2 linked regions of the Lepisosteus oculatus genome follow. The main gene of each other region encodes a partner of the protein of the gene in region 2 in a complex. Links are inferred from orthologs where the notes say so. Each region holds a gene or a part of one and is shown on either strand. Other genes may lie near its edges.

The links. Proteins that work in one complex are often made in the same cells at the same time.
Region 1: the proteins of bmpr2b (region 2) and inhbb are in contact, whole or in part, in a crystal structure (PDB 7U5O), measured with the Homo sapiens proteins. The link is inferred for Lepisosteus oculatus from reciprocal best matches to the Homo sapiens genes BMPR2 and INHBB. Residues at the interface, in NP_001195.2 of Homo sapiens: Tyr40, Tyr67, Leu69, Val80, Lys81, Trp85, Ser86, His87, Ile88, Gly89, Asp90, Gln92, Ile108, Gln109, Tyr113, Phe115; in NP_002184.2 of Homo sapiens: Phe309, Asn318, Asp319, Ile322, Ala323, Pro324, Gly326, Tyr327, Tyr328, Thr379, Met380, Ser381, Met382, Leu383, Phe385, Asp386, Asn390, Ile391, Val392, Lys393, Asp395, Ile400.

What each region holds. Positions count from the first base shown.
Region 1 is NC_090707.1:3,923,852-3,927,603, reverse strand, and holds the start of inhbb (inhibin beta B chain), read right to left. Parts: upstream 2,811-3,752; 5' UTR 1,901-2,810; coding exon 1,513-1,900; intron 1-1,512. UniProt on the Homo sapiens protein: Inhibins and activins inhibit and activate, respectively, the secretion of follitropin by the pituitary gland.
Region 2 is NC_090707.1:34,056,100-34,059,851, forward strand, and holds the start of bmpr2b (bone morphogenetic protein receptor type-2), read left to right. Parts: upstream 1-1,037; 5' UTR 1,038-2,220; coding exon 2,221-2,383; intron 2,384-3,752. UniProt on the Homo sapiens protein: On ligand binding, forms a receptor complex consisting of two type II and two type I transmembrane serine/threonine kinases.

The DNA of each region.
Region 1 (3,752 bases), about 30 Mb from region 2:
ATGAGATCCCCTTCAGAAAGTGCTGAAAGAGCATCGCACAGTGTTGAGTGCCGAGGTGGAAAAACTGTCCATTTCAAGTTCGCCTGACGAAGCCTCCTAGCGAACTGTTACTTTCAGTTTGTCGCTCGGCCATGCCCGGCTGGCAGCGACCCCGCTTGGGCTTCTACCCATTTGGCCAGAACTCAGGAAACAGTCCGGGACACGAGGACTAGAGCCAGTACCGCAACACAATACTGTACTAAGGTCCAAAGCGCCAGTGGATACCTTTAAAAATATATTTAGCGATCGGTGAGCATCTTAAATCATCCGCTCCACGACAGCAACACAGACTTTTAAAAAGCTTATATTTTGGAAACAATGAACCAGATTTTAACTCCGCACCGAAAGGGGTTGTAGTTCAAGTTAAGTTAAGACGCGTATCTCTTTCGCTTTCTGCAAGAAATAAACTTGAGACCCGTTTAACGCGTTCCATTCAAACCCTTTGTTAGCCATCGGCGCTAAATAGCGATGGATACTATTTCTGGATGGGAAAGAAATCCTTAGAATATTTAGCATTAACTGCGTAAGCATTCTTGGGAGTGAAATAAACGACCAGTTGTTTTATTTTCTCTCTCTCTCTCGTGCTTTAAAGGGAGCTTTTCTAGCAACACGGTGAACTGAAGTTGCAGCACAGCTCCATTCCACAATTGCGATTCAGAGCATCTTCTCTCCCGTGCGAGGTCATTCGAGGTACTCTGAGTCGAGGTCGCACATTGGACACTCGCATATTCATTAATTTAGGCTACTCTAAATCCTATCACATATAGAAACGCGGTTCCTTTTACAATAACTACAGGTTTTTGCGTAGCATCACTCAATTATTCGTATTTATTCCGACTTAGACTTTATTGCTTTGCTCATGTACGTAGTGGTTTAGACTACATGGTCAGGTTAAGCCCCTGTTCCTCGTTTATCTGTCGTGTTGTGTGTTGCCTTCTCCTCTCAGAGCAGTTATCTACGTGACTTAAGCACTGGGGCACAGACGAAGATGACATTCATTAAAGGGACCTTATTGTACGGAAAGGTTTCACAGTCAAGCGGTGCTTCGGAATTTACATAATAGTTCTTTGTAGTTCTTGTTCAGATTGCTTTATCTGTCTGAAACCTGAGCTCAGGGTAGCCTATAGCAACGCGTTTTTATGACAAATTCTTTGTTTAGGCTGCTTTAAGATTGCAGAACCAATCATTTGGAAATGTTTAGAAAGAAAACACGTGCTTGAAAGTTAGTACCTATATATTTCTATATACGTTGAGGCTCTTCTGTTTTTAACTGTTTATTCTCGGTTGTCTTTCTAATTGCAGGGACAGTCAGGCGACAGGACAGTGAGCAGCCAGTCGCTGAACTCTTTCGATGGACTGCTGGGCCGATTTTAATTTAGTCTACTAGTGGAGAAATTACGCTGCACAGGCGGGACGAAACAGCGGTATCCGCAGTGTATTAGCAGCAGTAATAGCAATATAGTTTTTACACACCTGATTCGGCGAAACTGATGATCTCCGAAGTTTGCTCCTGCACCTCGTTGCTGGAGGTGGCGTGGCCGTCCAAGTTCGGTATTTCCACTCTTCCGTCTTCTCGCACTTTTCCTGCGTGAAGCTTCCGTAAGGCTGTGACCATCGCCGCCTTCGGGATGGGGTGGGTGATGTTGGGTCTCTCCCTCATCTGTAACCTGTTCAGTATATGCCTCTTAACAGCTTCCACGAAATCTATGTCCATCCGCCCCGCGTCCTCCGGCTGCCCGAGACCGCAAGACGCGCACGTATCCTGGGACGCAGTCTGAGTCTCAGTCCCCGGGGTCGGTGTGCATGTGATTGTAAAAACGCAAGCCACGAAACAGGCCACTTTGATGATGTATCTTCTCATTTTTTTTAAACAAAAAAGGTATTCCCGAGGACACTAGAATCTAATACGTGAACACAAAACGCAGCAACACGTTCGTCTTCTCAGGTTAGGTTCTGATACACTACGCTAAAACATATCCGAAATAACTTTTTCAGAATAGCTATGATGAAGTTATTCAGTTGAACATAGTAATCAGATCCACTTAGTCCACAGAGCGCTGACGAACGTGCCCAATGTGCTAATAGTTCCGAACATTCACTTAGTAAACTCCCTAAGGTTGCAACTCTTTGGTCATTTTGAATGCGAAATTCAGGTGGAAACTAATACAACGTGTTTGTCCTCTGTTCTCCGTTTTTGCCTGACTGAATGAACAATTTAACGTACCAGCCCCAAAGTGAAACTTCCACCGATACACATGTACACTATACATATATGTGTGTATATTTTGACCGAAGGTCTTCAAATCAGCACCCTTTATAGCAGAGAATGCCTGACGTGTCATGCCATGGTTTGAGCAACAGGAAAAAATAAATGACTAGAAGCTACACATTTTAAAAGGAAAAACAAAGATTTCTCAAGCAGCGTGACAAAGCACTCACTGCGCAGAAGACGCAAAAAAAAAACCACAACTACAGTTACACATAGGAAATTCCACTGTAGAAGAGGAAAGAAATGACCAATTCATTTAAATCATATCTCCCTTTTCGCTGCTGTCTGCCGAATCCAGTTTTTCCATCTCCATCCACTTCTACCTCTGATCTTTGCCGCCTTTGTTTGAAAAAAAAAAGAAGTGATTTTTAATTTCCGATCTGCAAATGGGTCCTGATGTGTATCTCAGCGCGTTGGCAAGAAGATACAATCTTCAGTTCGTGTTTTCCCCCCCTTGCAATCACGACATTGTGGCACTTTACACTGAAACTTTTTATACAGGAGACTAACCACGTGGGGCGTTCCACCAACTGGACTCTGCTGTTTAAAAGGATTATGTCCCTAGGCTAAGGTAAAGCGACTTCTGAAACAGTGGTCTCACGGTGCAAATATGAAGGAAATAATGGTCAAGTTCATTACATCTGCTCCATTACGGGGGGGAGTCGTGGAAGTATCATAACTAACCAATTTGTGAATAAAATGATTATTGATAAGCTTTTTTGGTTTTGAGAGTTTGCGCACACAAAGTCTAACCTATCAGCGCGGTATGCTATTTGATAATCTGGGGTATTTATTATGTCCGATCACAGAAAAGATTAATCGCAAGAGTTCCGTCACTTTACTTACACAAAATATTTTTAAAACACTTTTCATCTGTAGTTTCAACATCTGCACGTTCCTCGAAACATTTCGTTTCCGTTTCTACTCATTACAATATTTTAAAAGGAAATGATTTATAATAATAGGATGCCTGTATTTTATTCCAAACCGCGGTTAAACAGATCACGATTTTCAGCGGGAGCGATTTGGACTTGGGTTTCATCACTGATTATTATAGGTTCAAAGAATTACCTCGGAAAACTTCAGCAGCGCTTAACCGCTGCAAGTATGAGACTACAGTTTATAGAAAGAGAGACTCCGCGTCGAACGTGTTTTTTTTTATTGTTGTTAGTATTGAAAGAGAATGTTTTAATTAGGCACCAGAAAGGTCTTTTGTAAGTCCGAGACCCATATGGAAAGTCTTTTGACGGGCGAGCTCTGTGCCCTTTCATTTGTAGCGATGCATTTGTTTTTTCCTCCAACCGTCTCCTGTGACAGTAAACATCTCAGGTGTCATAAACACGGGGTTCGCAGCGATCAGCGGGATGTGCAACAATTCTTTGTTGCTTTCAGGTAGCCTATAAAAGTTTTGAGTGGGGGTCGCCAGTGACGTATCTCCACGATG
Region 2 (3,752 bases):
CCAGGGTAACGAGGCCAGGCGCGCCGAGCCCCAGACCCAGACGGTCAGGACGCTGTGGTGAAGCCTATGCCTTCGGGTCTCTCCTGGACCTGTTGGTAGGTGAGATCCCAGGCGTCCATCTCCCAGCGCTGAGCCAGGAATGGCGAGAGCACCAGGCTTAAATAATGAGAGACAAAACAGGTGCATATAATCAACCAAAATACGAAAAGGATCGGGGAGCCCTTGGAGTTAACTTTTTGTCCATTTGACATTCAAAGCAGAAATCTGCATCTCAGACACCTTGTGGGTTGCCTATGAAATATCTGGGGTTTCACTAATATGGGCCATTGCAGGCCTTAATTCACAGCTTTCACCATAAAAGAGTTTTCTTCTGATACAAGTTTTGAAAACCCTCAAAGGCACAGACAAAGTCCACTCAGAGCCTTTCTCCGGAAAGGAAAAATGAAACACAAACCAGACGGCGCAAGTGGAAACGATGTGAAAGTGCATTTAAAACCGAGAACACGTTTCACTTCTTCACCCACAGGGCTGTAGGGAGTGTGAAACAAGCTTCCCAGCCATATCTGCATGAATTTCTTGTATCATTTAACTATTACCTACCAAAATGCGCCAGATGTGCCTAAAGGCCTACTCCTGTTTGGAACATTTCTGATTTTCTTCTGAATATACAAGTCAAGAAGCCTGGACTTTTTAAATAAATTCAACTGCTCGAAAACATATAGCCTTGTTTTTTTTTAAATGAGAATAACCACTCACGGAATGTTTGTCTCCACATAAGAGATTTTAAAAATCAGGTTTTTATTTAACGTGCCAGACTGTTGAACGTTTTTACAAGTCGGGTGGCGTTTTGGATAACCTTCAGACGACGGCCGGGAGCACAGAGGTGGTTTGAGAAAACGTGCGCCTAAAGGCGGGCGAGCCCCACGCCAGCGCCACTCTTTCCGCGACCGGCTGTGCACCGCTAGCGGGAGCTCTACTCCTTTCCCACACTGCGCGGAAGTGAGACGGCTCGGCTTTAGCGTGTTTAGTGCTGCAAGCGCCGCAGACAATCCCGGGATGAGGCGTATCCCAGTCACAGACGCTCTGTCTCGCTGTCTGCTGCTCCATGGTCACTAGCGCTGACAGCCAGCCAGCCAGCCCTCCCTCCTTCTGAAACTGCAGACAAACCGAAACGGAGGCAGTCTGCTCCCCGTAACCAAAACAGTGCAGAACTAAGTGTTGGGGAGGACGTGCCTGTGTACATTTTTTTATTTGTGGTGTTGGGGTGGGAGGGGGGGGGAGGTTGTAATTTTTTTTTAACAAAAACTGGGCTTTGCGCAAGGATATTTTCCGATGGAGATTTATTGGAATGCATAGCCTTGTCTAAAGGTGGAGATCTGAAAGTGTTGGAGGAAGAAAAAAAAAAGGGGGGGGCCTCTCTTAATATCCTGAGCAAGGGGGGGATCCGCGAATCTCGGCTGGGATCGCTCCTGAAAACAAACACCGTGCCCTGCGTAGGAACAGCAAAACGGGAGGGGAAATAAAATGCTTACAGTTTGTCCTGTTGGCAGCGAAGTTAGCAGGCGCTTTTCACAAAGGGGCTTCATTTAAAGGGAAAAGAAAAAACGGAATTTGTGCACCGCGGACTTTAAAAGTCGGAGCTGCTTGGTGGGTTCTTGGAGGGGGGAAAAAAGGCCTTTTTTTGGAGGATTGCAGGCAATTTCTCGCCAAGGACTTATTTTTTTGATTTTTTTTCACAAGAAAAATGGAATCCTCGGATTTTCATATTAAGTTGGAGACGCGCTCGCCTGCACGTTAATTGTTTTTGCTGAAGGACATTTGCAATTCGGGAAGCTTTAGGGTAGCTAACGTTAGCTACCTAACCTTCGTATATCTGCAGAAACCCAATCAAAGGGAATAGAATAACCGTTCAGACCGATTCTGGTTGTCTTAAGGTTTTTATTTTGCAGCCGGGAGTGGAAATTAAAAGAACCGAGCCTCCCTATTTTTAAAACCGGAATCGCCCAGTTCATTTCACGAATGATGTAACTGGCGAGGGCTTTTTATAAAGAGGGGGAAAAAAAATCTAGCACGTTAAATGATTGAGATAAGTAGCTGGCTGTTCCAAGAAAATGTTAATTTTAACGCCGGCCAGCACGAAGACGAACTGAAAACAAAAACGACGAGGCACCGGTGGACAATGATGGGATTCTTCATTTGAATCGGGATTACAGTCAACGAATGTATCTGGATTGGTCATTTCTAGGAAGAGGAAAAAATTATAAAACTTTTTGGAGGTGTTTATTATCGCGGATACCGGGTTTGGTGCTCAGCATGGCCGCCTTCCACCGCCTGTCTATCCTGGTGTTGGGAGTCTACGCAGTCCTGCTCAGTACGGTAGCTGGTAAGTGCCTACATAACTGCGGGCTGAAATCAGACTTAATGGCCCTGTAAAAAAAATGATTTGGGCTTCCAATAAATAAACACTGTTCTCTTTCAGTTAAACGAAACGACACCGAAAATAACCCAGGCAGCGAATCTCAATATTTAACTTTTTTTTTTATACGGCCGAATATGTTTTCGACCGTGGTTGAACCGCCTTGTTGTAGCTTTTAACAGACAGGAAAGGTTACATTCACCCAAGAAAAATAAAACTGTTATTTAAGTAACTTCATGGGCACCTTGGTAGTCCTCCAGGTAACCAGTGTCTTCAGCAAGGTCCGGCAGCATTTTATTTTCATGAGTTGGACCACGGGTGGAATCGCTGAAAATCTTTCCAAGAACAAATGAGAAAACGCTTTGCAATCGAGTATAGCGATTATATAATTGTTACCAAGGGATAGAACAATTGAAAATACGGCAGGCGAATAATGTTACAACTCGAGATGCATATATGGCGTGTAATGTCTTAGGTGTAGCCTAAGTAATGTGCAGTATTGCATGTCTCGGTCTCTCATTTGTTACTCCATTAACAGTAACGTTCAAATGTGCATGTCACTATTTGAGTAGTCCAGGTTTTCAGATGTGACAACAGCGGTTTCAGTTATTTGGGTGACTTGAACTGAATGCTTTGATAACGTACAATTGCATCTGTAAGTACGGTAGTTAAGATCCTGGTGTCTGCTGTGTGCTTTCTGTGAAGGGTAGTGCACAGACCTCAACATCGTTTTATCTCGTTCATTCACTTGACATGGACGTGAGATGCACCTTTTTATGACAGAACAAGGGCTCTTTTTATGTCCTGCCTTCTTGCCATCTTGCCATTAGATCCAGTGTAGATTGAAATATAAAAATCTGGATTAAAAATAATTCCTATTTATAAAATACTTCCCCCTTTCCTCCTTCTAAAAGTGTCACATCACCAGAGTACAGAAAATGTCATTGGTCATTGCAGACAGTCCCGAATGAGTAATATGTTAATTTCTGCTTTGAGGTGTTTTTTAATTGATCTTTTTTGACGTACTTCCTTTCAGTTTAGAGGGAAAAAACCCAATCAGTAAAACCTGAGCAAGTGTTCTGCTTTCATTTGTCAACCATGTTGCTCTGATGCCTGGTTATCCTGAAAGGCATTTGAACTATAAGGCTTCAGTGATGTCTCCTCTGATAAGGCAGTCTTTTTAGATTCTTTTTTTTTAGTTTGTGTTCCATTTTGAAGTGGGAGAACATGCTTCTGAGAGACTCCCCAGTTGTCCATAGGTTGAGTCTTGTAGGGTTGGTAGTCTTTCAGTCCCTGAACGCGTTTTTGGGATCATGACCCTTTAAGCAGGTTGTCG